Drosophila melanogaster: one gene and its partner. The protein of the gene in region 2 interacts with the protein of the main gene of each other region in a pairwise test. Each region holds a gene or a part of one and is shown on either strand. Other genes may lie near its edges. The genes, in order: CG7518 and Frq1.

Region 1 (15,623 bases), on a different chromosome or scaffold from region 2:
TGTGAACTTCCATTTGAGTTAATTTTTCTTTATTTTTCTCTTTTTTGTTGAAACATTGAAATTGACTCCTAAGTCATTTTGAATGATTTCTTGGATGCGTTTTCGGTTTTTTGAATTTTTATGTTTCGTTTTTTTTTTTTTCTTTCTGCTTTTCATCGATGAAATGTCTGCGTATGTGAGAGACTGTTATGAATGTGAGGAGTTCAACTCAATCTGCTGGCCAGGCAGCGCACCTCGTGTCATGTGGCTCACCACCAGGCGGCGGCCGCATTGGCAGCTCCTCCGGCGGTGGCGTCCGCCGAGGCCACATCGCTCGGCCCACCTCCAGTTCCCGTGCCATTCAGCCGCGAGCACTCCGCATCCGTGGCGATCTGCAGTGCGTTCATGTTCTGCACGAAGGTTTCCAGGGCGGCGGCATTCTCGTCCTGGCTGTACGGCGATGTTCGCTGGCTGAGCGGGCTGCGGCGCAGGAATTCGTTCAGATCGCTGGCCACGCTGGCCGCCTTCGATCCTCCGCCCGGCACCACCGAGGAGGGATCGAAGTCATAGCCAAATGGGTCCGGCGGAACCGCCGGCTGTGCCATTCGCGTCAGCAGATTGTTCTGCACGAAGAGGTGGGAATCTGCAAATATGTACAAATGGGTCAATTGGATTGAGGACTCTTAGCCATGTAACATGTATAAACTAACCACTGCCGTAGTCGGCGGCCACGTTGTCGCAGTAGTTGGCACCCGGAACGGGTGGCGGCTGCTGCTGCGGATCATAGGCGTTGGAGGAGCGTGCCCGGTTTCCAAACACGCTGGTGATCTCCACGTGATGCGGCGACGGCGACGCGTTGTTGCGCGTGAAGTTGGACTCCGAAATATTGTGTATGGAGACCTGCAAAAATACGAATGCACGAATGCAAGAAGAGCATGTGACATTTTAGGAAAACTAAAAATAAAGATTTGTGGATTTTATTGCAGCAAAGGGCAAAGGGAAATACATTTTCTTGCGATGTAACCTTTTCATTCTTTTTTTTTTTTTTTGTTTTTTTTTTTTTTTTGTGTGCAAGGTCAAATTAAAAATGTGCAGTTACAGAAAATAATTAGGATGAGAAGAATGAGGTGAATGGATTGGGCAACGGATAAGTTTGATAGTTCGAATAGAGATCGTGCTCCCACAAACAGTTATCATATCCGTAACGCACCTCGTTGTTGAGATGCTGGCCCGGTATCAAGTTCTTGAGAAAGGCGGCGTCGTCGTAGCGAATGACTCCGGTGTTCGGAATGCCCTCCAGATAGGAATTGAAACCGGTGATGGTGGGCGGCGGAGAGTCGTCGCCACAGTTGTGATGCATGTGGCAATCGGTCGATACGCCGCCGTTTCCAGGACCGTGCGATGCGGTAGCCGCTGCCGCCGAGAAAACCTCGAAACCATTGTAGTAGCTCGACTGCTGGTACTGCTCCTGCAGTGGCACTCCGCTCGTAGAGCCGCCAGCACTATTGCTATAATCCTGCTGCTGCTGCTGCTGCTGCTGCTGCTGACCAAAGCACGGCCACTTGCTGGCCTTCTGTTTCAGCTCACTGCCAATAGCCGATAGACATTTCTGTGAGTGCTTGGGACGGGCAATTACTGCCGCCTCGCCGACCAATCGGCCAGGACTTTCGGCGCTGGTTGGGGGAACGTTGGTACAGCTAATACTGATATTGTTGTGCGTCCCGTTGCCGCCGTTGCTGCTTCCGCTGCCGTTGCCACTGGCCGATCCACTGGAGAAGTAGGAGAAATTCGAGCTGTCGCCGCCTCCATGAGCAACTGGGGCCGCACTACCGGCCTGCTGCTGCTGCTGCAGCTTTTGCTGGGCGGCTCGTGCCGCTTCCGCCACAGCCTCTTGGGGCGTGTAATAGTTGACATTGCCACCGAACTGGCGATAGCCTCCCATGGCCAGGCCATTGGTCACAGCCTGGTGAAGCGCCGGATTGCGTATGGTAAACATGCCGTTCTCGTTCTTGATGATTGCGGCAGGCTGATCCAAGGACATGGCTGGAGGAACCGGAAGTCCGGCGCCAAAGCTGCGCACTGCAACGAATAGTTAATATATGTTGGTTATTATCGTATATGAAATTGCGACAAGTAGAAGAACCACTCACCTGGCGGCATTGGATTGGGATTGGGCGGCATCATGCCTCCGCCGGCCACTGGCCCATTGCCCTGATGGAACATGGGATTGCGCAGCGTGATAATATTACCACTGGCGTTAGCTTCAATGGTGGCCGCAGTGGCTGGCGAGTTAGCCAATATCTGGCCATCAGCCGCTCCTGCTGCTGATCCGCCGCCTTCTCCTCCCGTTCGTTGCTTGTTGGCCGCCCCCGAGCTGCCTGGGTTTCCGCCGCTCCCGCCACCAGACTTTCCACGATTGCGACGACGACGCCTAGAGGCTTTTCCGTTGGCGCTCGCTGCGGAGGCCGCTGCAGCCACATTGGGTGGTGCAACTGGAGCTTGGCTGCGATTGGGCCGTGGGTTGGCCTCCACCATGATTACACCGTTGGGATCCATGCCAGCGGCACCGGCTGCTCCATAGTAGCCGGCCAGGAGGTGAGACTGCTGCTGGAAGTGATGCTGCTGCTGCTGTTGCTCGGCCAGTGGCTTGGACAGCAAACGGATGGACTCACTTTTCTGGCGTAACTGCTCGCTTTTAGCCGGATCCACCTTGGTGAGGGTGATGCCAGGCGGTAGGGAAAGGTGTTCCACCTGTACACCGCGGTTCAGCTGGTCCATAATGCTGCAGTTGGGCGACTGGGATGCCTCCTTCGAGTTGGAACTACCTCCTGGCTGGCTGATGCGCAAATGCTGCAGCTGCTGAGCCAGAGTGCTGGCATAGCTTCCCGACTGCGGCGGTATGGCAATTTCGTTGGGATTGAAATAGCCCATGTTGTGTGGAATGCCAGAGAGATCCTCTGCAGGGAATCATAAAATAAGTAATAATAGCGTTCTAGGTTTACCAATGAATGGTTGAACTTGAACTTACCCTGCTTCTGGCGATGTCCGCGCTTTCCACGCTGCGACTTCTTTGGCGGAGCAATGGATTCCGCCGCATGAGCGTTGGAGTGCTGCTGCACGGGCTGCTGTTGACCTCCAGGCGTGGGCTTTGTTCGACCATTGACCCGTCCACTGCGAGGCGCCTGTTGCGTCTGCAAATGCTCACAGCGCTGATTCGGAGCGCTGCGATTGGATTCGAGATTGCCAGGAGCCTGCTTCTGCTTCCTGGATGATTCCGCTGGACGCTGCTGCTGGCTCTTGGTAGGCGGCACCTTTTCCTGCTGATACTGTTGCTGCTGCTGTTGCGGCGGATTGGACTTGCCCACGGAAGCAAACGTCGATTTGCTCTTAGGCTGTGCCTGAGTCTTGGCAGCTGGTTGCTTTTGGTGGGCCGGTGCTTCCTGTTGCTTCACCTTTTTGGCAGGTGCTGCAACTGCGGCTGGAGCCGGCTTCGCCTTTGTGACCACTGACGGTGCAACGGGCTTGGGAGCCGGAGCAGCTGGCAGTTTGGGCTGCTGCCTTATTGGTGGCTGCGCTGGTGTTGGGACTCCTTCGTCTGACTCACTACCAGTTTCCCACTCTCCCTCCGACGAATCTTGCATGTGCAGCGCCTTCCACGGATTGTTGTCCAACTGTCCAGGATCCAGTCTCGACTTCAAGCGTTTCTGCCTCTTGGGTGGCTCCGGTTCCGGTTCGGGAACAGGCGGTGGTGGTGTCACTTCTACAACTTTGGGTGGCTTGGAAGTCGGCTTCTTGGGTACAGTCTTTGGCTTAACACTGCACACCGAGCTTTCGCGCGTACTCTGCGGCGTCTGCGACTTTGAGGAGTTGCTGCTCGCTGTGGAACTGGAGGCGGTGGCCACAGCCACGGCTGTCTTCTTCGCCTGCTTCTTGTTCTTTAGCTTGGCTTTTTGCTCCGCCGCAGCTTCTGCTGCTGCCGCTGCAGCTGCCTCGGCCGCAGCTGCTGCTTCTGCTGCTGCCGCCGCGGCAGCTCGCTTAGCCTCTTTCTTCTTGGCCTTGGCACTCTTTTCAGGAACACTGGGCGCTGGAGCCGGAACCGTTGCCTGTCGAGGAGCCATTTCCTCTGGCTGTATCGGACCTGAAGCCACCATATGCCCGTTGACAAAAGTGTAGAGCAGTTTGTCCTCGTGCGGAGCACTGCCTTTGGCCACTACAGTCACCTGCTGCTCGGCGCCCGGATGAGGCAGCTGCACCCGCCGTATTGTCACAATGCGCTTGGAGGGATCGGCAGTGATGGAGCTGGCCGCCATGGCGGCGATCACATCGCGAGACAGTTGAGGCGGATGTTGGGACTGCTGGGGTGGTGCGAAGCATACGGGCGTGTTCTGCTGCCCGAGTCCTGGTGGATGGTAAAAGGAGGCGTTACTACTGAACTCGGGATATTGCGGCGCAGACTGCTGTGGAGGCTCCTGTCTAACAGGTTCGGCAGTGGCAGTGGTCGGGCCCCCGTTCAGGATCTCTTCCAGCTGGGCCATCTTGGCCAGCTGCTGTTGCTTGGTAGGCAAGTAGGAGAACTTGAACTCGCTGTTCGTCTGCTTGACGGTGGCAATAAGTTCGAGGATCACTGTCTCCACTTTAGCCTTTGCCCGCTGAAGGTTTTTAATGTTCGTCTCCAGCTCGCCGATGCGCTTCTTCTCCTTTTTCCGGCCGCCTGCAGCCGTCAAGGTCTTCATCTCATACTTGTCAATGAACTCCTTGAAATAGATGTCCAGAAACTGGCAGCGCAGATCCTCCAGTTCCTTAATACGTTTCTCCTCCTCCTTGCGCATCTTTTGCTTGGCTTTCTTGGCTGCTTTCTTGGGATTCGCGGTGTGCGGCTGCTGGGACTTGCCCTCGATAAAGTTGAGCGTCTCATTGATCCAGCGCTGTTGGTCCTGTTCACGGGTATAGGTATAGGTACCCAGGAACTCAGCAAAGTCCTGCATCATGTCCTCTTTGCTGTAGTCCGCTGGAAAGCCGCTACCGTGCTTGAAAGCGGCCAGAGCAGCAGCCGCAGCCGAGGCGTCTGTGGCATCCGTGTGCCTCTGCAGGCTCTTGCAGAGGCTGTCCAGACGCAGTAGACTGTCGTCCTCGTGCTCCTCGCGGCAAATTCGGTCGAGAGCCGCCACAGCCAACACTGCTGGTAACTTTGGCGGATTGAAGGGTGATGGCGGCCGCTTCGGTGGGATGGCTGCCGGTGCGGGGACAGCAACTGGCTCCGGCTTGCTGCATTTGGTCTTCGATGGCGTGGTCTCCTCCGTGGACTTGGTCTTACGCTCGTTGACGATCTGGGAGAGCTTCTTACGCAGCCGATCGCGCGTCTCATTGAAGCGCGCATGATTGCACTCCTTTTTGACCCGTTTCTTTGAATGATTCTCCTTGCAGGGCTCCCCAATGTCCGCGTAGTCAGAACAGCCTAGAGGTTATAAAAAACACGTCCTTAATATCTTAGCAGAAATCTGAATCATAGCTCCTCACATTTTCGCATCTTCTCCTTGCTCTTCTTGTTGCCGCCAGCTTCGCCATTTTTGCCTCCGGACTGGGGCACGTTCGATTCCCCTAACTTGGATTTGGCACCCGATAAGCCAGTAGTGCTATCTGGTTTAGTGCGTTTTCTGCAATGAAACATAATCTCATAAGTTAATGATTTAATGATTGCTATAATTTAGAACTTACATTATCTGAGAGTCGTGCAACATCATTAGCTGATCCACTCCAAATTGCAACTTCTCTATGTTGGCATCACCCAAAGTAAAACTGCAATGATAATTATAATTAATTTTAGAATCACAACAGTACAACTCAAGTCCTTTCTTATTCACTCTCGTTTTTAAAATCTTAATATTTCTGGCGTGCCAAACAGAAGCCTGCTAGAATCTGAATTGTCACGATTTAATTGACAGGTCTCTTAGAGAGGATAACGATATGCAAAGGTAAGGATCCAAATTATCAGTAATCGATAGCCGATATTGTCAAGATGTTAATGCAAGTGCCATCCTGGCTGAATAATAAAAGACATATCTTAACTGGCACACCCCCCAAGAGAATGTTCACCCCACAACTACTGATTGTATTGCTTAAGTGAATATACAACATTTAATTATTGTCCACTTAGGACAGATCATAAAAAAAACACTATTAACTGCCAAGTGCTAGATTATTACCTTTTAAAAGCATAATTAAAAATTAATTAATTATACACATAATCGAACAACTTTACAGGCTTATTATTATTTTTTAACTCCTGCAGTATTTTGCAATGGCAACCCTGTTTGCATGCTTGTGGTGTAGATGGTCCCTAATAAAAACATGTCCGCAAATGTCAAAATGGCACGTGTCAAAAAAGAAAAATGGAGGACTGCCTTGGTTAAGTTTATGTTTGGTCAAAACATTTGGTCTTCAATACTTACTCATCAGTGACTTTGAAAGGTGAGTATCTGCGATGAGGAAAAGAAAGCCTATTAAGAAACATCCACGTTGGAAACAATTTAGGTGAGAAAACTTACCCAATAACTTGAGCCAGAAACTGCTCAAACCGATTGTCCTCCTTGTCGCCAACTACGCTGTTTAGCCGCAGGCGCAGATCGCCCTTGATTAGCTCCAGGTGACCGAAATCCGTGCTGCTCGAGTTGAATTTTACAAAGAAGTTGGCGTAGATGGAGAGCACGAAGGTCCAGTATGTTTTGTACACATAGTGCTGGTTTCGCAGCTCCTGCAGCTCGGCGGGACTAGGCGCCAGCTTCCGATTGAAGAACATCAGCGATGGAATCGTGGAGCGCAGCTCCTCCCGCGTAAACGACAGCGGCTGGAAGCAGCGCAGCAGATATTTGGTCAGCAGCGGCGACAGCTGGTTGGACAGGATCTTTCTAGCCAGCTGGCAAGCGGAAACGCGGCAATTCTCACCGCAGATGAACTGCGGTTCGATGGTTTCGTGGCGATAGCGCTTCCTGGTGGCCAGGTGCTGGAATACCGCCCATGCGATGTGATATGTGGTGCGCAGGGTATCGGACGTCTCTGCCTGGCGGCGGAACACCGATCCACTGCTGCCGCTGCCTGTTGGTGACTCATCCTCTGGCAGATCGCTAGTGCGTCGCTGTTGCTGGGCGGTGGAGGTGGAGGAGCTCGTAGTAGCCGCTATGGCCGCATTGTGCTTGGCCTCATCACTGGTGCAGGTGCTAAGGATCTTGGACTTCATCAGCTTCGGATCCTTCTCGACAATGCCGAGCGTTGTGCACTTGGCACAATGGCCCGCTTGTCGTGGTCGCAAAGGAGTGCCGGCGATGGAGCAAGTGATGCATTTGCAGTTCCTGATATGGTACATAATGATAAAAATAATTTTAAAATTTTAATTTATATTATTTATTATTTTGTAAAATTTCAGATTGGGTGCACAATCTACCCAATCTACTTACTCGTTATGGTGCTCGAGAAGTGAATTGCACTTCTTGCAGAGATCCTCGTGCACCAGCTTATTGGGCGGATCGTAGAAGCCATCGGGCCACTTCAGCTTCGTGAAGGCCATGATATTCTTCCAGGCCAGCTGGCGATCGACGATGCGCTGGAAGTCTATAAACTCATCGTCGCTGATATCCGGCAGCGAAAAAGATGTGGCGTCCAGGACGACCTTGTCGAATATGTTGTACACATCGAGCAGGCCCATCCGGCGCTCGTGCTCCGTTGGCGACAAGTTAAACTTATTTAGCTCGATCCAGATGTCCGTCCAGCGCCGCTCAATGGAGTGCATGTGCTCGTCGAACAGCATGTACCGCTTAATCAGCGCCGTCGTCTGGGCCGATGGAGCCACCTCCTTCAACGACAGGATGCAGGCCAGCATGGTATCACCCAGGGGTGTGAATACATGCTGCTGGAAAAGGCGCTGGCATAGAAGAACCCACGACAGCCTGAACTTTCGCAGGAAATCGTTCTCAAACGCAAACAGGCTGAGCGAGATCTTCTGCGAGATGCAATTCAGATCAGAGTAGCCGTCCAGAATGTCTACACAGGGTTAAAAAACAAGAGTGATTCATTGAGTTTATATGTAAGTGGATTTTCCCTATGAAACCAGTTCGAGTTAAAAGATAAATTCCTCCTAGTCACTAAATTTATGTACTTAAGAGAAGAATATGCCCCTTATTTATTTAGTTAGCTATCATTTGAGAATTCCCTTACATGTCAGCATCCTTTCTGCCGAAATCTTCTCGTTTTCCTGAATATTTTGGGCAATTTCGATCATGCCCTCGGAAAACGCTTTCACAATGCATTCAACATTATAGGCGAGTATTTGTAGCAGCAGCATCGGATTGTTAGCCATTAATCTGTGAACAGATAATGCGTTTAAAGTAAACAAATGCAGGACTGGGGTGTTCACTTACATGGCGCTGAATAGCACTAATATCATATTGTCGGAGATCGCTGTATCATCAATAAAATCAAGATATTCGGCATTTTTATCGTAGAGGTAACCGCTCGTAATCCAATAGATCTCCTTGTTGCACTCAAGCAGTTTCTCAAACTTATTGTAGGCAGCATCGTTTCTGGAACAGAGATGTTTAAATGATTACCAACTGACTTAGGAGACTTTTTCTTATTGCAGTTTTGCAGACTGTTCTTACTTCAACATGGGACTGTAGGCCTTGATCAGTACGTCTAGCAACATGACCACCATGTGCGCAGCCTTAAATTGATCCATCATGATGGCCATGATGGTTTCGCGGTATTCGAGACATTCCTTGCAGGAACAAAATGTGAAGAACTCCTCCTTCCGGTGTTTCACAAATATGAAGGCAAGATTCTGGAAATATAGCTACAATGGATTAGGAGTACGTTTCGTTATACATCTTAATCCTTTCAAGCAAACACACCGTAATTGCACGCAGCTGTCCGTCGGCGTCACGAAGCGGATTCTTTGGATCCTCAGAGAACAGGCGCATGTTCTCAATGGCCATCTGAAAAGAAGGTGAACGATAGTGAGTATTTACTGAGAAAGCTTTATATTCTCAAATATAATGTATTTGGTATGATTGCACCTATCAATATTCTAAAGCATAATTTCAAATAAGTGTTCTTTAAACCAAAAAAAATCATGTTTAAGTATTTCGAAACATCTAAAGTCGATCTAATAAGATAATTTCTATCCCATTTGATTTGATAACTCATTAAATCCAATCTAAATGTAGGTATAATATAAAAAAATCCCACACACATCTTTAATAGTACATTTAAATAAAAAAAATACATGAAATGAAATCGATCTCCACAGCTTTCGGGCAGCTTCTGGGAACCCACCAAATACGATCGCGTCTCATCGTTGGGATCGCCGCCCTTGTGCTCGCACTCGTGCAGCAGCTTGTCGCTGAGCTCCAGTTCGATGGCGTTGTCTTCCCGCTGGCTCCACTGCATCAGCGATACGACCTCCTTGTAGACCGTCTCCGCTTTGGGGGCGGGGGCATAAGGATCAAAAGGAGGCAGGGCGAGGATCGTGTGCAGCGTGTTGATGATGTTGCCGTCGGGAAAGCTGAGCCGCTCCAGGAGCTGGCATGGCGGTGAGCTGCTCCGCGCCGGCTTCGCCTGTTGGACACCAGCAGGCGGTGGCGACGGATTCAGCTGGGAAGCGGTGGCGACGCAGGAGGAGGACGCTGTGGCATCCACATCGCCCTCCGCATCCGCATCTACATCTACGTCCATGGAGGACAGAGACATCACATGGCAGCAGGAAGGCGGCGCCTCCTCCATTGGCAGTTCGCCATTGACCAGCGGCTCATCTGCATCCGTTTCTTTGGTGTGCGCCACCTGATCGGCCATTTCTGGCGGGGCTTTCACGCGGTGGATGGGTCAATGAGCCCAGCCAACTCAGTCAGTCCCCGGCTCCGGATCACTTGTTAGTCTTTGGTGCTTCTGCTGGCCAAATCCGCGTATGCGCGACGCATTATTATATACGAAATCACAGATGTAGATGCACTTTCACTCGCTCACTGTATGCGCGCGCGTGTCTGTGTGTGTGCGCTGGTGTGTCGGTGTGCAAGTGTATAAGTGTGGGTATTGGATTGGTTTGGTTTTTGGAATCGAAATCGGTTTTGGAAAAGAACGCAGAGCAGCACAACGCAACGCGCTTTGCCCCTCGAATCGCGCCAAGTGCGCCTCTGCTTTCATCAGCGTTTCACTGCAGGGCCATCCGTTTGGATTTTCCGGGACCCGACTTTCCGTTGCCTCGCAGTTTCCGTTTCGTTTGCACCCACGATTGTTGTGATTTTCCGCTTTTTGTGATTTTTCGCCTGCTCGTTGCAATTCGCTCGTTTCTCGTTGATTGCATTCGCATCGGTGTGCCCGTGGCGGCCTTCGCTCAAATTACCGCAACGCCGCGCAAGAGTCACGAATAAATGGTCATACCCCGTGCACACTTGTTTGGCCGAAAAGTTTTCTACATCTATCCCAAAGAACAAACACAAACTTTTATTTATATGAGCTTTACTTTACTTCTGTGTGGTCCATTCTTAGAAAACTATACTAATGCGTTCTTAAAAATTTGATTTGGGAAATGTTAAAAAAGCATTTTAAGCCATACAAAAATTGTAAAACCATAGGAATGTATGTTTCATATACTTTTTTCAACATATATTGTAGGTAAAACAAATCATCATGTATTTATACAGAAAAAGGTCCCAAAGATCTAAAAATTTCCTATTCTGTCTATGGAATAAACACATTTATAATGCAAGAAAATATATTTTACAGTAAATTCTTTCAATTCGATAGTGGGCCAAATGTCGTACAGAATATATCCGTGTCCCTTCGATGTGTTGACAACCCTGACCGAATTTCGTAATTTCGAAACGAACGAATTCAGCCGGCGAAGTGGAGAAGAAAATGTCCGCATCGACGGACCAGGATCCCGTGGAACTAATGCTGAAGAAGACCGGCTGCATAGAGCTTCACTACAAGGTGCAGGAGTGTATCGCCGAGACGGGCGACTGGAGGGCTTGCCAGGAGAAGGTGAAAGAGTTCCGGGCGTGCATGCAGAAGTACGTGGAGCAGCAGAGCCAGAAGTATGCCCACGTCAAGTAGCATCCTGCAGAAGTTCCTCAGCAACGGTTTGGCCTTCGGCAAGTCCACCAAACTGGCGCTGGTGGTCCGAACCGACCTAAAGATGTCCAAGGGAAAGACAGCGGCCCAGTGCGCCCATGCGGCGGTCATGTGCTACCAGAGCTCTGTGCAGGGAACCAAGCTGCAGAACGCCATTCTGCAGCGTTGGTGTCGCCTGGGACAGCCGAAGATAGTGCTGCGCGTGGACAACTTCGAGCAGCTAAACTCCCTGGAGCGACAGGCCCAAGAGTCGAACGTGGTGGCCGCCTTGGTGAGGGATGCCGGGCGCACTCAGCTGGAATCTGGGACAGCAACGGTCCTCGGACTGGGTCCAGCCCCTGCCGAAGATCTAGACAAATTGGTGGCGCATTTGAAGCTTTTGTGAACTCTTAGGTTTATGCAACGTTACAAATAAAGTACAAGTAATCAACAAGTGCTCAAGCGGCGGTCTTCTTGCCCTTGGAAACTGTAGATATAGTAAGGGACACTGCTTGGCCGAACATCTCCACCAGGTCTGATGTAACTCGCTCCGTGATCTGCCGCAGCTTGCCATTACCCTCGCCACAGATTAGGCGCTCGATTCGCGTGGTGGGGCACTGAACCTGCACGGATGTGTAGACAACATCTGCAAAGAAAATCGGAATTGAAAAGGATTTCTTTACGAGTGTACAGAAGTACTCACTTTTTTCCACACTGTAGTACTCGATCTCGCACTTAAGGTTGTAGGGTATCTCCTGCGGCAAGTAGTCCAGCAGACGAGCCCGCACACTCTCCACAATTAATGCTTCTGGGCTGGAGTCCGTATGAATGTCAGCTGGGTATTTCCAATCCCTGGGCTTAGCCTGGCCCACCAGGTAGTTCTGCATCTCCTGCAGCCCATTGCCGGTCAAGGCGGAAACAAGAAACACGTCGCTAAAATGGCTCCAGCTAGACTCCCGCTTGTTGATTCTTATTTCCTTGGCGAGAGCACTTTTTGCCTGGACTTCCCGCTTGCCAACTGTCAAGGTGTCGTTGGTGAGTGTCTTGATCAGATCCAACAGCAAACGCTTCGACTTCAGGGCGTCTATCTTATTCAGCACCAGGAAACTGGGCAGGTTGCTATACGCCTTCAGCGTATCCAAGACAGTGGGATGCAGTTCCTTCCTAGTCCAGGCATTTGAGGCATCGTGCACCACGGCGATGATGTCCGCATGCTGTATGGCATGGCGGTAGGCACTCTTAAAGTTCTGGTCCAGGTGGTGCCGACGAATCTCATGTTGCGTGACCAGGCCCGGCGTATCGTAAAAGACCAACTGCGTCTGGCCGGTGGTGTAAATGGCCGTGTTCGACTGCCGAGTGGTGTGCACCTTGGCCGAGGTGGGACACACTCGGTGGTTCACCGTGTTGTTGATGAACGTGCTCTTTCCCACATTGGGCACTCCAATTACCGCGATGTGCAGTGATCGTTGCTCCTCTCCGGGATTCCTCGATTCTGCGGGCGGTGGGCGCGTGGTCGGAGCCACTGCATCGTTGGTGTGGGCGGCGCCGGTCAAGCTGCGCACGTTCACCAAGAACAAATTGTGGGTTTTCGTGCTATTCAGCAATTTTAACGAACTGGCTAACAGATTATAGCGCATATTGCTATTTACACTGTTTACGCTAAATAAATTACGATTTACACAACAGCTTTGTATATCGATACCTCTTATCGATTGTTGGTAGTGATTTGATTAATTTAATAAATCGCCGTTAAGTCTTTTGGCGCGAAATTTGTTGCTTTAGTTTTCTAAGTTTAGAAATTATGCATTAAATTTATATTTTTGGGTTAATTATTATTAATTGCTAGAGAATATATTGCTAGAACAGCAATGCTTTCATAAACGAATAGCGTAACGTTTCTTACAACTAAATGTTCTTCTCATGTTTTTGTGATTGATTTATATATGTATACAACATAAAAAGAAAGAAAAGCTGAAAGCTGTTTATAATTCCATTTGTATGTAAATAATTAGATTTTTACTAACGATTATTATCAGGCTAACAAGTCACAAAACCGGTTTGAGAACTTGTGAGAGTCGCGCTTTTCTTATCAATTTTAATAATTTGCGTTCGAACCGCTGTGAGAATAGATTCCAATTGGGAACAAATTGGCTTTCAGTCGCTATTGAGGCCTCAACTTGGCAAGGCGAACTTAGATTATAGTTCCCCAGGAAAACCGAGCAATGTTATCGCCCCAATTTTTGATTCTAAGTTTAATCTCAGGGTTACAGCTGCTTTCCTTGGCAGATGCTGATCCCATGATAGAGGTCTTCCGATGGAAGCAGATGGACTTTTACAATCGCGGAGATGGCCATCTAAGCTCGGGCGGAAGGAAAGACAGGCCCAGCTTTTCAGGTTAGTACTCATAATATGATATTACTAGTTCTCATTCAGCAATAGCAATCTCGCGAGCCTTGTTAGATAGATTTATTGGTATTTACTTATGTACTATTTTTTTATTGTTCAACTAGCTCCGGTTGTCTTTCCTGGAAAGTATTCTCGTCGAAAGCGTAAGATTATGACCTCCCGCGATACACCGGTAGTGGTCAGCTCCCGCGCCGACAGCGACGACCCCAACGCCTCCTACATTCCGTACAATAACGTGCCCATGGGAGCCACTCACTTCCGCGGCCGCCTCTTTGTCACGATGCCTCGTCGACGGGTGGGCATCCCATCCACCTTGAATTACATCGATCTGGCCGAGGACGGATCGAATCGCAGCCCCAAGCTGCGGGCCTATCCCAACTTTGCGCTTAATCAGTTCAACGCGAGTGCGGAGAATCTGGTGTCCGTCTACAGAACCTCCGTGGATGCATGCCAGCGTCTCTGGTTTATCGACACGGGAATGCTGGAGTATCCAAGTGAGTTGGCATGTATTGACATGTAATATAAAAGATCAGGATCGATCCGTATTAATCTAATTTGGTGACCAAGAATATAAAAAACTCAATCATGATTCTCATATCCAGATAACCGCCAACAGATCCGCCGTCCCAGCATTTGGGTAGTTGACTTGGCCACGGATCAGGTGCTGAAGCGCTTCGATGTTCCGGAGAGTATAGCTGAGACGGGTCGCGGATTGGCCAGCATCACCGTGGATGTGAAGGCGGGTCAGTGTGGCGATGCCTACGCCTATATTCCGGATCTGGTGTACCGGCGCCTGTACGTCTATCACCTGCGAAACGATAGAATCTGGTCCTTCGAGCACAACTACTTCAACTTCGATCCGCTGTCCGGGGATCTCAGCATTGGCGGCCAGACCTTCCGCTGGGACGATGGCATCTTCTCAATAACTTTGGGGGCCCAGAAACTGGATGGGAGCCGCGATGCCTACTTCCATCCCATGGCCAGTACGAATGAGTTTGTGGTCTCCAACCGGGTTCTGCAGCAGGAATCCAACGCCGCACGTTCCGATCATGGGAACGATTTCCGGGTACTCGGAAGCCGTGGTCCGTCCACCCAGTCTACGATGCACGCTTACGATCCTGGGACTGGGGTGATCTTCTTCGATGAGATCCAGCGCAACGGAGTGGGCTGCTGGAAGACCAGCAAGCCCATCTCGGCGGAAAACTATGGCTCTGTGGATTCCAATGCCGAGGATATGATTTATCCCAGCGACTTGTCGGTAAGCAAATGGTTTTGGATAAAAAAGTTGAAGAAAAAAAGTTATACATCTCATCTTACTATTGCAGATTGACGAGGATGGCACCATTTGGGTCATGTCCAACTCCATGCCCATCTTCATCTACTCCACACTGGACACGAGTATATACAATTTCCGGATTTGGAAGCAGAAGGCTTCACTGGCCAAGAGGGGCACAGTTTGTGAGTGATTCGTGTGGAATTCCTGTTGAATTTGTTACTTAATTAAAAATACATACATAAGTAAGAATGACGAAATTTTCGAATAAATAGTTAGCTTTACAAATATACTCTTCAGATTATCAACAAATCTTAAAAGTTGAATAAAGAGACATGGAAAATAAGAGCTTGGGAATCCCAGTGACTGCTCTTATCACTTTACATTCTGAGCTCATTTTTGAGTCGCAGAGCACGTTTAACTCAGTTGAACCCAAGCTGAGGAGTCAGTCAGTCACAAGTGGGTTTTCAGCCAGGAAAGGCGAACGACCGGAATTTTATAAAATGTTATCGCTGGACGTTCTGCTCCTGTGCGCAATCTCAGGGTTCCAATTGCTAATCTCTGCAGATGGAGATCCCATGATTGAGGTCTTCAAGTGGAAGCAGTTGGACTTTTACAATCGCGGCGATGGCTATAAGGATTTGTGGAACAGGATCTGCATTCCAGGTAACTCCAAAAATATCCAATTGAAATATGTTCAATTTCAAACATCAGCAAATGTCGGTGAATCACTAAGTTTTTCCACAAAACATTATGAAATGGTTGTAATATGAATATTATTTTAATCACCATTTTATCGTCACTTTTATAACGAATAATATGTATATATATCACAATTATTCGTTCGACAAAGATTCGCATTTCTACA
Region 2 (15,572 bases):
ATAAGTTGGCTGGGAAAACACTTTTGAATTATGCATTTATCTGGCTACCAGATATCTGGATATCTGGCTATCTACGTACGCGGAAAATGTCTGCACCTTTGCGTATTTTGATTGATGCTCGGCGAACGAAAACAAAAACAAATCGAAATGGGGTAAATGCCAATCGAAGGAAAATGGTAAATGAGTTTTGGGGCAGCAGGAGGAGGAAAAAATGAAAAAAAAAATAATGAAGAGCGAGGGCATAAATGCCTGGGCAAAACAAACAAACAAACAAATAAATAAATAAGAAAACGGAATTATTACAAGGTAAATCAAAGGGCGGGGCAGGAAAAACACGCTGCAGACATTGTGGATGGAAAAATAATAAAATGAGCTAGATGTGGAATTGATATAGTGTTAGTATTAAGCGAGCTCAGTTCCCAAGGGTAAATGCCAATTTTTGTAAGCAATCCTGGCGATTAACGAAACAGTTGAGGTCCTTGATTTAAGGGGATAAGGTATAACAACATGAATTTATAAAGTGTTATTTAAGCTACCATTTAAAGGTGTGCCATTATATGTTATAATTGGGTAGTTTATTTTTATATTTACTCTGTGTCATTTGGATGCCATTTATATAGCTTTATATATATTAATTGAATTCATTGCGAAAATTAAAATTTATTATTAATATGCCACATGTGCTTTAATTAACTTTAATTAAATGTGCATTAAAATGGTAGGTTTATCTATTTTTTCATATTACTGCCTAAGTCTGCTGAAACGCACAGTCACTAGATAATTAAGTACTTTTGCTGCTGAAACGCACTGTACCACTAGTTAATTGAGTACTTATGCTGCTGAAATGCACTGTACCATTTGATATTTGAATATTGAGACATTTTAGTGTTGCGATTTACTTACAGTATGTGTCCGTTGTTAAGCGATCGATGGTATCCTGTTTCAACTTGGAGCTCTTTTTTCCCATGTTGTTCTCTTGTTGTGGCTCCCTAGTTGTTGTTGCTGTTGTTGTTCTACCTCTTGTTGTTGTTGTTGTTATTTGTTATTTGTTGTTGTTGCACTTGACTGCTATTGCTTTTTAGTGGCAAACTTTTTTGCGCTGCGCAAGTTCGTTTTACTTTGCAATTTTTGTAGTTGCTTTTGTTTCGGTTATTCAAAAGTTTGCCATAAGTATTTTAATATGCTTTATAATTTTGTTATAAAAAAAAAAAAAGTTAAATGCGAGGAAAGTAGGAAAGTGTGGTGCATAGTTCACGGCATATTTGCTGATATTAAATCTATATATATATATATATATATGTATATAGATTCATACATATATACGGGTTCAATTTTGTTGCATCTCAATAACGGACCAAGATAGTTTATAAAAAGTTCTGGCCGCACTTTTTTCCCAGCTCAATAACTTCTCGAGTGGCGCTTAAAAGGAGTGTGAATAGATCTTATGCGAAGGATGCTTCAAATTCAGTTGGATTTTCATTTTGGCCACCCACTCGCAGGAGGCTCATCCATCAAAAACCCATCGATAATCCCTCATGTGTCCTGTGTCTTTTGATTAAAAACTATTTTTACTTGGCTTTTCGTCGCTGTTCAATTAGTGATTTTCCACACAACAACAACAACGCCGCACTATGATTATAACGAGGCCAGAGGCGTGCCGAAAAAAGGGGCGCTTTTCCATGGGGTCGTTGTGTGTGTGTGTGTGTGTAGGTGGGTGGTGGGGCGATGTATTGAAAGGCATAAAAATACACAGAGCGACACTTTTCAGGTCAACTCTCGACTCGAACTTTTCATGACAGTTGGCAACAAAAAAAAAATCGTCTAGATGTGGGCGGAATGGGGGGGTGGGGGCAGGGACAGAGGGCGGAGGGCGGAGGGCGTGGCCCGCTGCAGAGGATGCAAACAAAAGCGCATAAAAAACTTAACCCTGTGTGTGCCAAAGGGGGTGGATGCGGGCTGGTGGGGGCGTTTTCCTCTGTTGCCTTCTGCGGTTGACGCGAATGGCATAAAAATAAGTTGCCTTTGTATTTTTTCTCCTCTCTGCCACCAGAGAAAAAGGAGAGCGAAGCGGTGGAAGGTGGCGAAGGGGGCTCCGTGGTATGCAATGAAATAAATTCTGTTAATTTCAGATGCAGTCCCGTCGAGATGTCGCATGCAAAGCGGTCGTATCAAGTGCAGCAACGAAATCAAAAACACTCAATCCCCGGGGAAAAGTCAGGAGCTGGTGGTAAACGTGACGGAACTGCTGTTCATCGCCAGATATCCGAGATGATCCCTTTCATCCTGACAGCACGAAACTTAATTTGTGCTCCGGAATTGTGTTCAAATCAAACCAATTGATCGAGGAAATCGCGGACCTTCTCAAGTGCTATTAGCTGATAGGATATATGCTTAAACCAACTAATTCCAATATAAAATATGAGGATTTACTTGAGGTTATGAGGCTGATAAGCTAATTAAATCAAACGTTCGTATACAAGCGAACGTATCTTTTCAAAAGAGTATCTTCATAAGAAAGTATCTTCAGATAGAGCAGATGACCTGTCCTTCGACCTATTCACCCATTAACTATGAGCAAAACTCTTCCATGTCAGGAGCCTTGGCATTAAGGGCCCGAAATGACTTTCATATCCCTTTCGCTGGATAACAAATATGGAGAGTTACTTGAGGTAATGGGGTCACCTGCTTTCGCTTTTAATGAACTCATTTTTATTGTTGGGCTGGGCACAATTATGTAAAGGCTGCCAGCCAGCAAAGAGAGAGGCCCTCCAATATCTTCGTTCAAGTCGTGTAAAATTCTTGTTGCTTTTGACTTTGTTTGTTTACAAAACTGTCGCACACAGAGGCACGCAAAGTGATACACCCACACACTCACTTTCCTACTCTCTCCCTTTCGCCCTCTCTCTTTCTCTCCTCTCTCTCTCTCTGTCTGCCCTGCGAACATGAGCCATTGGCATTTGCTAACTAAACACAGTTTGTTCCTCTGCGTGTGTGTGTGTGTGTGTGTGTTATCATGTCAGGTGTGCTGCCGCGTGAGTGTGTGTGTGGGTGAGTGCGTATCTGTGTGCGTTTGTCGCAGTGTTTCAGTTTCATTCTGTGTTGCCTTTTACAACGAGCGACGACGAGCTCAAATTTGTTCACACTAAAAATATTTTTACGTTTATTTCGTTCACAGCTGGCTGCTAATGCAGTGCCAACGAGCGGGATGGCACTATTTAGACAGGGATGCAGATAGCAGCAGGTCCTCGCTATCTACCTCTACACCCCCTCCCTTGCTGGCCCAAAAAAAAAAAAAAAAAAAAGTCCTGGCTTGTAACTCGACTCGTTTATCTGTCTGAATGTGTCCTTCTTCCCTGCTTCTCTCTGTCTATGTGTGGGTGTGTGCTTATTTTTCATACTGCCTGCAGTTGTTGTTGTTGTCTTGCCCGCCCCCGCCTCCTCCTTCATCAGCCACTCCCCCTCTTGAGCCAGCCGCCTCCTTTTTATCCTTCAGCTGCGTGTTCATCTCGCGTTTAGCCCGCGAGCATGCAACACTTTTCTCGCACTCATCTACACTTGCCAACAAAAGTGGGACCGAAAATGGGAAAAAGGGCGAAGAACTGCGCGCTGGAGGAATTGGAATGGAAATGGATGTGGATGTGGGCATGGCCAGGGGGATCGGGATCGGAACGCAGTGAATGGAACGGAGCGACGCGCAAACTTATTCGAATGAAATGGATTGTAAACGATACCCGAAAGCTGGGCTACACTGGCAAAAAAAAGCGAATAGTATATTCAAAATTGTAAGCAATTTCATTGAAAGCGGTGTCTTAAAGTAAAAGCAATGAAAAGGAAAGTCGCTGTGCACAAAAAGAAACCTATTAACTTGAGGTAAATTGTTTATAAAGTAAACAAACAAACATAGAAATAAATTATTGTATTTATTGATTAGCGATAGAAATTGTTGAGTGTTAAGCTTCCTAATTTTTAAAAGTTCAGAAAATCCCAAACTATTAATGCAAACCACCTTGTTTTATTCACAGTTTTGGTGGTGCAAGCAAAGTTTGTAGATTTCAAGGATTTTGTAGCTTTTATGCTTATTTTAAATCCAAACTGCAATTTGTTGGTTCCCGGGTGATTACCACCGTTTTAAGCACTTTAAGCACTTTGATTGGCGAACTGCAGAATTACCGATTTCTGGCTGTGTAGAAATGCAAATGAAGATTGAGCTGGCCGACGGCAGGAGGCAGGGAACCCAAGACGCGGAGCCCACAAAGGCGGGGCCGTCACCCCGCATTCACCACCACGCGGAGGTGGTAAATTAATTTTTACACCCACATTCAGCCACATTCAGGAATGGATGACAAGAACTTCATCCACTACCCCAAATATGGGGCGAATGTCTCGATGCAAACAATGCAGAATTCGAGAATTTCGAAGATTTCGATGAGCGGAAAAGGATCCCGAAGGTCCTGAAATGGCGGATGGCCAGATAGACATGGCGGTCGGACTGCAACCAGAGTGTCGAGGGATTGCCTAAATGTCAGTGAATACCTTAAGGCGATTGGATTAGGCCGGGCCAAGAGCGGCGGTTGCCAACTCATCTTGGCAATGGAAATTCCGCCGAGTATTTAATGTGGAATTCCTGGGAGAAAAGTGTGATTGGGTTTGCAGGGCTTAGCAAACTAAATGCGGCTATCACAATTGAAATATTCATGGCAACGGGCTAAGTGCATTTTAACATGAATTTCGAAATTAGCAAATCGGACAGATGCCAAAAATATTTTCGAGGCTGCTAACTGACAAGTAATTGAAATAGATGTACTGCGAATGTGAAAATTTATAATTGGTTTAATTTGTACATTATCACCATGAACTTAGCATTAATTTGGAAATTAGAAAAGCAGACTGAAACCAGGCCAACTGAATACCTAGAAAATGAAATAAATTTACTGAGAATATGGCAAGCTGGAAATTTTTAATTGGCTCAACTTGTTAGCATTTGAGCTATGCATTTAATACTCGGAAATTATTCAGATGCCAAACGAATACGAATTTAGTTGCTGAAATTCCAAAATTTTAACTAAGGAGTTATACTTTATTAATCAGAAAAGTTGGTCTTCATAGAAACTTATTAAGCTTATAAATTTATGGCCAAATAAATCTTTTTTAAATATTTCAAAAAGACAATAACAAATACAAGCACATTAAAATGAAAATATTTGTGTTTCAAAAACATCGAGTTTTGTGAAACCCCAAAGAAATGTAAGGACACATATTTAAACACGATAAAAGCAGTTAAAACCTTTAAACTTTAAAGGATCTTGAAGTCTATTTATGAGGAATATCTTAAAGAGTAACATCACTTTAAAATGGCTTACTATAATTGAATATAATTGAATAAACGTTTGAAATAGCATAACTGGGCATTTAGTGGCCACATCTTGCGGTATCAAATATCCCAGTTAGCAGATCATCAAATGGCGGCAGATTGCATCTATTAAGCCCGGACAGATTGGCCAATTTGGTTGCAAATGAGCGAGGCGGACGGATAAGATCCGTCCTCAATTCGGCTATTGCAGCTATTTTCGTGCCAATTCCGGAATTTGTGCGGACGTTTTGCCCATGGCCAATTAACAAATAATTGATGCAAATTAAAATGCATTTTGTAGCGCCGTGTTTCGATTTGTTCTCTCCCTTTATTTTGTCACTCGCAAAAAAAAAAAAAATGGAAAAGGATTGGGGGACGAAAAAAGAAACGAGGAAATGACACGCAAGGTGAGAGTTGGGGACTGCATTTGTGATTACGGACGGATTGTGTGCGGATGATTGCGGCCATTGATGGATGTTAGAGGGGAATGGAAGAGGTTGAGGGGCTGGGGATTTTGAGGTGCCTGCCCCCCAAGTGAAAAATGAGAAAACTGAGTCCTTGGAGGTTAAGTCTAAGCGTCGCGACACAAGTTCGCTGGGCTGGGAAACTTATTTTTGTTTACATAATCCTTCCACGTTGTCTCGCTGCCCAATCCCCTTTCGCCCCGCCTCACCGCCCCCGCGTTTATTTTATATATATATATATTTTTTTTTTTATTTAGCGGCAGCTGCTGGACCGCAAAACGTAAATTTGGGTCAAGTTTTGTAAGCATAACGAATGGCAGAACCAAAACCGAAACCAAAACTAAAAACCCCAACCAAACCGAAGGCATCCCATATGCATAAATGCGAAAGTAACCTTCGTCTTGCCCTCTCTTTCGCCTCTCAAGCTATCTCTTTCCCTGTCTGCCTGCGGGTGTGTGTGTGTGTGTGCGTGGGTGTGTGCGTGTGCGGATCCCTTTTGTGTAAATTAATCTTTGGCTGCCGCACAAAAGTATGCTACACAAATATAAATAAACACTTGATCCCTTTGTTGATTGTTTCTTTTTGTTTTTTGTTTTTTTGTTCTGCGGCACAACTAATGTTTTCATTTAATTTTCGCACTTTTGCTTACTTTTTTGTTTGTCGTATTTGTTTCGTTTTTATAATTTATTATTTTTGCTTTGTTTGCTTGACGTTCGTATTATTTAACCGAAAAAAAAATGTCAACTATTTTGCAGGATTGGAACTTGGAAAAAAAAGGAAAACAAACCAACTATTTAGGTAATGGCTTTATTTTGTTGTTATTGTTGGTTGTTTGTTGCTGCCACTGGCGGCTAATGTTGTTGTTGCCGTTGCTGTAGTTGTTGTCGATTTCCGTGGACCGGAGAGCGCGCTTTGTCCTTTTGTTGTTGTCGTTGCGAACCAGCGATTTGATTGTAAACTTAAAAACCTGCCGAGCTGCGTTGCGTTTGTTTGGCGGTCAAATCAGCGACTGAAAGCGCTCTGCACGCTCCACGGCGAACGGAATACGGAATATGGAATACGGCGGAATGTGCGGCAGTACGGCCAAACGGCTGGCTATATGTGTGTGCGCTATCAACAACTGAGAACTTTTTTGGTAACATTCTCAATGGGTCGTGGTGAGTTCGAGTTGGGCACCCCTTCTACCGCCCCCTTTCTGCCATCACTTCGCTTAACACACTACGGTACTCGCGACTCATAACTGACTTATATAACGCACACATATGCAGGCATTTCAGTGAACTCACCACTCGAAACGATGACGAAGGCGCAGGCACCGAAGCTTTTCACCACACTCACCCACTCACACGCTCGCTCTCCCGCTCTCTTCTCACGCGTCTCGTTGTGTGCGTGTTGAGGCGCCTCTGTGTGCGTGTTAAAAGCTGCAAGAACTTACAACAAAAAAACTCGAAGAGTTTAGCAGCTGCGGAGGACCAAAAAAAAAAAAAGAAATGTAAGAGGAGGAAAACCGAAAAGCCAGCGCAAAAATGGGCCAAAAACGGGGACCCCTCGTGAATATTGAACTCCATGGAAGCGAAAATGGCAAACCCGTGGACACCAGTTCTGCAGCGGGAGCCATCGACAATTACCAGAAGCTGGCAATGGTCTTAGATAAGAGCCCAAATCGCCAAAGAGCTGGGAAAAGTCGAACAAGAACTGGGACAATCAGCCAAGCAGTTAGCGATAAATTTCCCCCCACTTTGCAGCACACAGCGAAAATAACAGTACGGCCCAATGGAAAGCGACGATTTTCCTACAATCGAAAACATTTTCCAACATTTAGTCTTAAATTTAGTTTAGTTAACTTTTATTTATTGAAGTTTACCATCATCGTTGGGTTGCCTTTTGTTTATTGGCTTAATTGTTCAATTTAATAAAAGTAAATAACAATATAACAAACAAAAAAATAAAAGTTATTGTATTGTATTGCAATTAACCACAAGTAAAAGAAACTTGAGCAGATTATCCCAAAACCGAAGTTGCATTTTATTAAATTCTGCGATAAAATTAGCTTTTCATCATATTTTCATCTCCCTTTCATTATTAGCTTAAATACATAAATATTTAAACGTTTTAAGGTTAATTCGAATAGGTCGATTAATAAATTCGAAAATGCTAATAAAACGAAGTGTATTTTGTAGTTTACGACCCACATTTACCATTAAAAAATGCTGTGTTTATTCATTCAGATGGAAATGGTCGATTTATCACAATCCAAGGCAATTCCCAATGTTTTTCAGTTGCAATTAAAAAGAGATAGTTTTTTTTTTTTTTTTGAATCAGACGGATTTGTGTTTGCTTTTACTTCGTGTGTGTTTTTGTGTTAGAAAATATGTATGCAAATATATACATATATATAAGATCTTTAATGGCAATATACTTGAAAATACTTATATAAAATTATGATAATTTTCAGCGAACTTGCAACAATATAAAATTCTCAACGGTTTGAACATTCTTTCCAATTCTACGAATACTTCGCCTTTTTTCGCTCTGTGTAGCAGCAGCAGTTGACGGGGAAAAACTTTATCACCAGAGCGCTAGATACGCGAAATCCTAGAGGCGGGGGAAAGTGCGTACGAGCGACGGGCGCACCTCCAGAACGAGTCCTTCTCCCCCCAGACATCCGACCCCCCCCCCTCCTAAATTTTCTTCTTTTTTTTTAAGGATCCCTACGCTATGACGTGGCTGAGTAACAATCCGGCAATCCAACAAACGAACAAACAAACAAATACATGGCATAACACGATAATAATAAAAATACAAACATTTGCCATTGCGTGTCCCTCAATGACGTAACCCCCCCTGAAAACACACAGAAAGACAAAGACAAGTAGAGGTGGTATGGTGGTGGGTGGGGGGTGGGGTTTTGGAGTTGGGGTTGGGGCTTCAAGGCGCCCCAATGTGGACGGACAGGGAGGGGCCAGTGAAACCACATCCAAGTGGGTGGGCATTTTGCCGGTACGAAAAGCGCTAGTTGCTGGCTGAAAATTTACATTTTGCTATGTGCGCACAGTGCGGCACAAAAGTGTAAAAGTTACAAGTAACTTGTAACACAAAAGGGTATATATTGAATGTGTTTATTAGGATTTATTGAACTATAGTCAGATTTAACGTTCTGTATTTAAGGAGTGTATCTTAAATCCATCTTCTATGTAAAATTATAAGCAGTAAGTTAACCGTTTACTTTGTCGCACTGCCTTACAGCACCGCAACGCACTGTACTTACACACATCCCAGTGGCGGCGTGGCTTTTCCAGTTGTTGCCATGCCCGTTAATTGCCCAGCCAATGGCCGCATCAGTTTTTACGGCCCTCTGGAGGACCATGAGGTGTTAACCTCGGTAGCGAGACATCTGCGGATTCTCGCCGATCCATGGGCCAGTTCATTAAAGACGACTCTTCGGATCGTTGGTGGTGTGTGTGTGTGTGTGTGTAGTGTGTGTGCGCTGTACACAGTGGATGTGTGTTTATCCATTCGAATGGAATTGGGCAATTTATCAAAATCCCAAGCAAATCCAAATAATTTTCAGCTGCAATTAGACGAACTAAACTTTTATGAGTCAGACGCTTCCATGTTTGTTTTTACTTCTGTTTGTTTGTTATGAAATTTCGCAAAACCCCTAACCGAACCCCAACCCAATTTAGCCCCTGCCCAAGTGAAAATGAAAATTGAAATGGAAATGGGAATGGGAATGGGAATGGGAATATTTCTGCTCAGTTTATATGTCCAAGTTGAGTGCAGTGAAAGAAAACAAGCGGCAAACAAAACTCTTTGCCATCAATCAAATTTAGTTCTTTTTCGTTTCGTTTTTGCGTATTTTTGTTTTTTGTTGAACACAGTTTTCCATTTCCATTTCCGTTTTTCCAGTCGACTCGATTGCGTCAGAGACAGTTGAGGGAACTTAATTTTAAAGTTCCTAGAAGTTGCTAATCCTCAAGCTCATTCCTCTCTCCCTCACTCACTCTCTCTCTCTCTCTCTATCTAGCTTGCCTCGTCTTCTTGCCCCAAGATTCGGCCATATAAAAGAAAAAGAAAAAGAGAATAAAGCTGTGGAGGGAGCAGCAGAAGAAGACATTGCCGAGTTGTCGTAAGCGCTGACTAATCAGCGTCATTATCAAAAAAGCCACAAAAGCAGCAGCACAAAATATACAAGAACATGGAGGATTTTGCTCGGGATACATGCGGCAACATTTTGTGATTATCATTGCGCGGCGAAAGTGCTTTTTAATGTCGCCGAGCATTTTAAATAATTAGCTGATGCCGTGGCGGCATCCAGCTTCCCAGTCCCTTCTAAATGCTACATTTGTAATTAGTTTTGGACGGGGACTTTGTAGGGACTTGCTGGAACTGTCTTGGCTCTGCGGCGAAACCGACAAATAAAAGAGTTATTTTGCTAGCGATCCGCCTGCAGCGAGGTGACAAACCTAACGGGGCTAAGAGACAAACATCTAGAGACGAACAGCAGCGACAGATAGTCCACGTGTAGCGATAAGAGCCGCCCACATGGCGTATACGCAATGTTGCCCCTTTACGACTGCCAATGCCAGTTACTCTCTTGTTTTCCACATCCTGCGGTGGCCAAATTAATTTACGGTGGCTCTGAATCGAGGCCTAAGCACCAAGTGAAAATGGGAAAAAAGGTGCACAGCCCTCGACAAAAAAAAAAATAACAAAAAACATGAAATAATAATAAATAAATTCATTAACATAAAACACGAAGAACAACTTGGTGGATGGGGCAGGGTTGTAAGGGGGAGGGGATTGCAGGGTGGGGTGTGGGTGGAATTTGCGGGGGTGTCGGGCAGGAATGCGTGACGGCAGACGGAAGCCAGGACTCGCTCGTTACCTGCCTGGAGATTATCATCAGCGGATTGTTATTGTTTCGGGGATTTCCATTGTGTGCGTCCCTTACTTACTGTTTTTCCCTTCAGTTTTTTCCTGATTTTTTTTCAACTTTTTTCCATGGTTAGCATCGTTAGCGGCTCCCCCGAACCTGCGTGGCCCATTCATTTGCATAATTTTTTTATGCCACAATGGGTGTCGAGTGGCAGTTGTCCCCACTCAAGGGTTTCATCGATGGTCGGCAATGTTATCAAATATATATATATATGTATTGTACATAGAGGTATGCCTCTTTTTTTGTTGTGTGTGAGTTGTGTGTGTGCGCAGGGTTAAAACACTTTTATGCCTCATCAACGCAGTTTTACGCTCAATGGGCGCCGTCAACTTTTATTAATTGAGTTTTGTATGAAGTGACAAGGGGAATTGGGTTGAGTGCCAGCACTAGTGTAAAAAAAAAAAACCAGCGGACAAAGAGGAAAAAGCAGAAATAAAGTTTAGTTAAACGCAGAAAAACTTCTGTAAAAGTAACCAATAAAAAAGGGACTCTAAGTAGATTAAAATAAATGAACTGTACAAAAAACTGGGTAATTTAAGTGGAATTTATTTATATACAAACCTGCTGCATATATTCGAATAAATATAGCTAGCTGAAATACTTGGTCACTTAGGAACGCTTGACTGTACTCAATTATTCGACAGCTCAGAGGTCCATTGGGGAAACCAAGTCATTCCCAGCTGATTGAGCTGAGTGCGGCACCCACTTGGCCATAAATCAATGGAAGCCACTAAATCATTAGCCATAAATGGCCGCAGACCCGCATCATCGAAAAGTTTCAATTGGCCGAGAATTTTGGAATACTCGTAAGCCATGGCCAAGAGTGATTTCATGTGCGTTGAGCATAAAACCTTAACACTTTCCTTGATTGGACCCGGCAATGGCACAACAGTCGAGCCGCAGGCAGGGTCATGTTATGTACATAAATATATATACATACTATATGTATGTATGTACATATATGTGTATATTTAATATGTACGTGCATAGGGTCCACTTGCTCACACTCCAAATGCGGAAGTGGACAGCCACAAAATATGTGGCAAGAACCGCAGAAACTTTAACCATAACAAACTCCCTGCCGCAAAGGACGACGACTGCTTATCAATTGCCCATGAAAGTATGCTACGAAATTCCTGCTTGCTCCTGTGCGCTCTTGCGTGTGTGTTAGTGTGTGTGTGTATGTGTGTGTGAGATTTGCGATAGCGAGCTGAATTCATAAACAATATTCTACATGAATTGTTGCGCCCTTCGACACCGCCCCACCCACCACATTTCCTGTGTGTGCCTGCCACAATCGCCCTCTGAACGGCCTTTGCCTTTGTTTTGGATTTTGCAACTTCAGTTCGGGTAGCTTCAATAACATGATTAACTTGATGGTAAAACGAATCTCGGCAAATCGCCAGCGAAACTCTGACCAGTCTGTTGTAAGCAAGAACTGAATTAAAATCATTTGAAAAAGTTCTTTAAAAGGTTTTTGCAGATTGCCAACAGTATCAAGGATAGTGATAAGTGATAAGTATCTTTTTTTATTACCTGAAATTATACACTTATACTAAATATTAAGTTATTATTTTGCATAGTATTCCCAACAAAATAACTCACTTTAGAATACCTCGACACGGAACCTAAGATCAGTTGGAATTTTTTTGTGACTCCGCTATATGTTTATTTTTACCCTTGCAGCGATTTCCATATTTTCCTCCTGGCGACTTTTCCAGCTCCCAGTTTCTTGGCTCCGCCATTTTTTGCTGGAGGCAACCTGGTCGGGAGCAGATTCCGCCCAAACACCTCCGTGGATCCCCCGGTTGCTCAATATCTCTCTAGCTTCGGTTTTTCTCCCATTTTCCTGCTTTTCATTTCTCCATTTCCCCATTTTCCCATACCCCATCCCTGGCCCCAAACCCACTTTATGTAGCAGCACTAATGGCGCTTTATTATTGGCAAAGTTGCCTGGCCCCAGTTTACAGCATGTGGACATAGGGGTACGTGGTGGTGGGATGGGAGGAGCGGAGGTTTGGTGGGTTTTGGGGCAAATCGGGGGATATACATGTAGGAGCAGCAGTAGGTAAACGAGGGAAGGAAGCTGAGCAGCCGAGCAATGGATGCTTTTGGTTGAGCGGCAGCCAATTTATATGGAAATAGATGCGCGGCACATTTTCAATGCGGATTTTTCCTATCCCCGCCCGACTTCCCTATTCTTTCTCCTATCCCCCACCATCTCCCCCCCCCCCTCGTGAACCTCAAAAACTCCCTGGAGAATGTTGGACTAGCGGAGAGGTGGGGACAAAAATCGATGCCCCCCGGGAATGAGTATAAAAATGAGAATCTCAATCGTTGTGCCCGACACTGAGACTGAAGATTACTTTGGACCCGCAGCCCCAATCTTCGCCCCTCGAATCGCCAATTTTACGGGCCTTCCATTCTTTTCTTTAGCGCCTATGACCCGCCCAATTTCGGGACCACGCCCACATCCATTGTTTGGGCCGCATCATATTCGAACAAATTACGTGGCAAAAGGTCGTGCTGCCATGGGTCAAGCTCTTAAGCGGTAAAACGGTCAAATGTTCCAAGCCTATTCAATGGCGCAAATGTCTAAAAATAGAAATAGAAAAGCGTCGAAAAGCGTCGAAAAAACAAATGAAGTCTCGAAAAAGTAATGATGCTCAAGCTCAAGTCGAAGAGAGAAATACTCTGTTGGGTTTTTGAAAGCCAAACTTAATGTATTGGAAAATTTCTTATTTTAATAGCAAGCAGAAATCAAATCGTATCACATCTTATATTATTATATATCTAAAGTTTTTTATGATTTTAAATAAGGTACAATTGATTAAATAATATTCCCGTGGGCAATTCAAAATAAAAGCTTCAAATAGCTGATCTAAATTCTATTCTAGATAATTCCAATAATTTACATATGTGCTTATTACGACTGTCTAAGAAATTACTAGCTTACATAAGTCTATTATCAGCTGATTATAATTTAATAGAAAAAAGCCTATAATATTATGTTGTAATTAACTTTGAACTTTAGCTACCGACATATGCTCCGTGAAAGGTGACCACAAAAAACTAGGGGAAAACCGAATTACAGAGCGTACGTGCGTAGATTGCCTCAAGTTGATGGCACTCCTGCTGCACCTACTCGCTATCGGTGAGCCCACCAAATTGGTTTTCCTTTGGCCAGCAAATCGCAAAGGCAGCAAATTTTCCACTTTCACCCGCACTCTCGGCCGACTCTGGCTTTCTATTGATCAAATCAATTACACAATCATATGCCAAGCCAGCGGCACGCCTTGCCAACCGATATCGCATACCATGGATTCCCTCATCCTGCCAGCCAAACCAACCACCCAACACCCGCTGAGCGGCACTTGCCACCGTTCCATGCCATTCTGACACTTGCCACACGACTTTCAATCAAATCAACCGCGCCAACAATTACCCACACACGGACCACGCCCACGACTATCGACGGCCCAAATGCCGCCCCCAAGGAACGCATTTAGCCAAAGCAAATGAAGGTTAAGCCGGAAGAGGATGAGCCAGGGCCGAAGGATATTGGTGGCGGGAAGTTGGACGCAAAACTCGCACTAAATGGGTACTGATACCTATGTATATGAACCGATCTAGATTTACATATTCAGATATATTGATATTACTATCTAACTTGGCCAAACTTACGTATTGAATAACGTATAGTTTGAAAACACAACTCATACTATTCTAACTATTAATCTTGGCAAAAAAAAGTTAATTAAATAGTAAATAAATAAATCTCGTTTTAATTAAGTTGTAATATTAACAAAAATGCTGTCATATATAATACTATACAACTATAGGTTAATTTCAACGTCTCATTACAGTAGACAGTAATCTTATACATATTCTTAAATTATATAAATATTTAATTGATTCATTTCAAATCGAAGGCCATTGCAACCCTGGAATTCGCCAACAAAAAATAGCGATGTATTTGCTTTACTCAATTTTTGTCAAATTTTTAGCGTTGTTTTTCTGTTTTCAATGGATATATGTGTGTGTATTTGTGTGTGTGTATGGGGGTGCGTGTGTGCGTGGAGGGGGGGGGGGTGTTATGGAGTACCAAAGGGGCGACTGGCGTGGGTGCGAACATTTTAAATGAATTTTACGCTTGATTTTGGTTTCAATTTCGATTCCGTGAGCTGTCGCCGCTCGACTCAGGTGCATTTTCATTATACCCATTGCTCTTTGAATTAGAGGGTATACTCGATTCGCTGAAGAGTATGTAACAGGTGCATTTATCTTACTGAATGAACTTCTGGATCTTGGAATCTACTTATATTGAAAGTTCAGGTTTATTCAGTGAACTGTAACCACCGCTCTTTAGCAATCTTCCGATTAACGGGTATCTGATAGTCGAGAAACTCGACTGAAGCCCGTCCTCTTGTTTTCGTTTCCATTTTCGTTTTTGGAGGTGGGGGAGGTGAAAACTGGAAGGGGCTGGCGCTTCGGTTTGGATAGAGACGAATGTAGAAATGAGAAAACGAATTCAATGGGCCAACGAAAAGTTGCAGCAAATAAAAGTTGCAAGTGTTTGCCAGCAGGAACAGAGGAAGGCAGTGCCCATGGAAGCTGGTTGGAAGCAAAGTCAGGTAGTCAGGAACTAAATCTGTGACAAAAGTACATGGGTGGCGATGGCTCCATGTGGATGCGGAATGGGGGCTGCCATCCAGGCTTTAGTGTCGAAGGGGAGGAATACTCGGTCGGTTGGAGGCAAGTTTAAATTGAGTGACATTTTGCCGCAATTGACTGTGCCGAAAGTTTTGTGACTCCCCCG

The links.
Region 1: the proteins of Frq1 (region 2) and CG7518 interact in a two-hybrid assay, tested with the Drosophila melanogaster proteins (one large-scale study listed by BioGRID).

The regions. Positions count from the first base shown.
Region 1 is NT_033777.3:12,992,781-13,008,403, reverse strand, and holds the start of CG7518 (uncharacterized protein), read right to left. Parts: upstream 10,316-15,623; 5' UTR 9,820-10,315; coding exon 9,304-9,819; intron 8,964-9,303; coding exon 8,880-8,963; intron 8,822-8,879; coding exon 8,631-8,821; intron 8,553-8,630; coding exon 8,391-8,552; intron 8,334-8,390; coding exon 8,188-8,333; intron 8,014-8,187; coding exon 7,431-8,013; intron 7,326-7,430; coding exon 6,525-7,325; intron 6,456-6,524; coding exon 6,429-6,455; intron 5,776-6,428; coding exon 5,695-5,775; intron 5,634-5,694; coding exon 5,497-5,633; intron 5,435-5,496; coding exon 3,008-5,434; intron 2,937-3,007; coding exon 2,130-2,936; intron 2,059-2,129; coding exon 1,190-2,058; coding exon of another isoform or gene 1,088-1,189; exon of another isoform or gene 1,013-1,087; coding exon of another isoform or gene 880-1,012; coding exon 690-879; intron 623-689; coding exon 249-622; 3' UTR 1-248. Other genes in the region: CG44194 (uncharacterized protein), read left to right, coding at 10,882-11,079; CG17327 (uncharacterized protein), read left to right, coding at 11,063-11,482; CG7488 (uncharacterized protein), read right to left, coding at 11,535-11,722, 11,780-12,713; yellow-f2, read left to right, coding at 13,299-13,470, 13,587-13,976, 14,085-14,740, 14,808-14,948; yellow-f, read left to right, coding at 15,259-15,421, 15,609-15,623.
Region 2 is NC_004354.4:18,146,624-18,162,195, reverse strand, and holds the start of Frq1 (frequenin 1), read right to left. Parts: upstream 6,828-15,572; 5' UTR 6,464-6,827; intron 1,184-6,463; exon of another isoform or gene 1,138-1,183; 5' UTR 968-1,137; coding exon 904-967; intron 1-903. UniProt on the Drosophila melanogaster protein: Ca(2+)-dependent modulation of synaptic efficacy. Also plays a role in axon terminal morphology.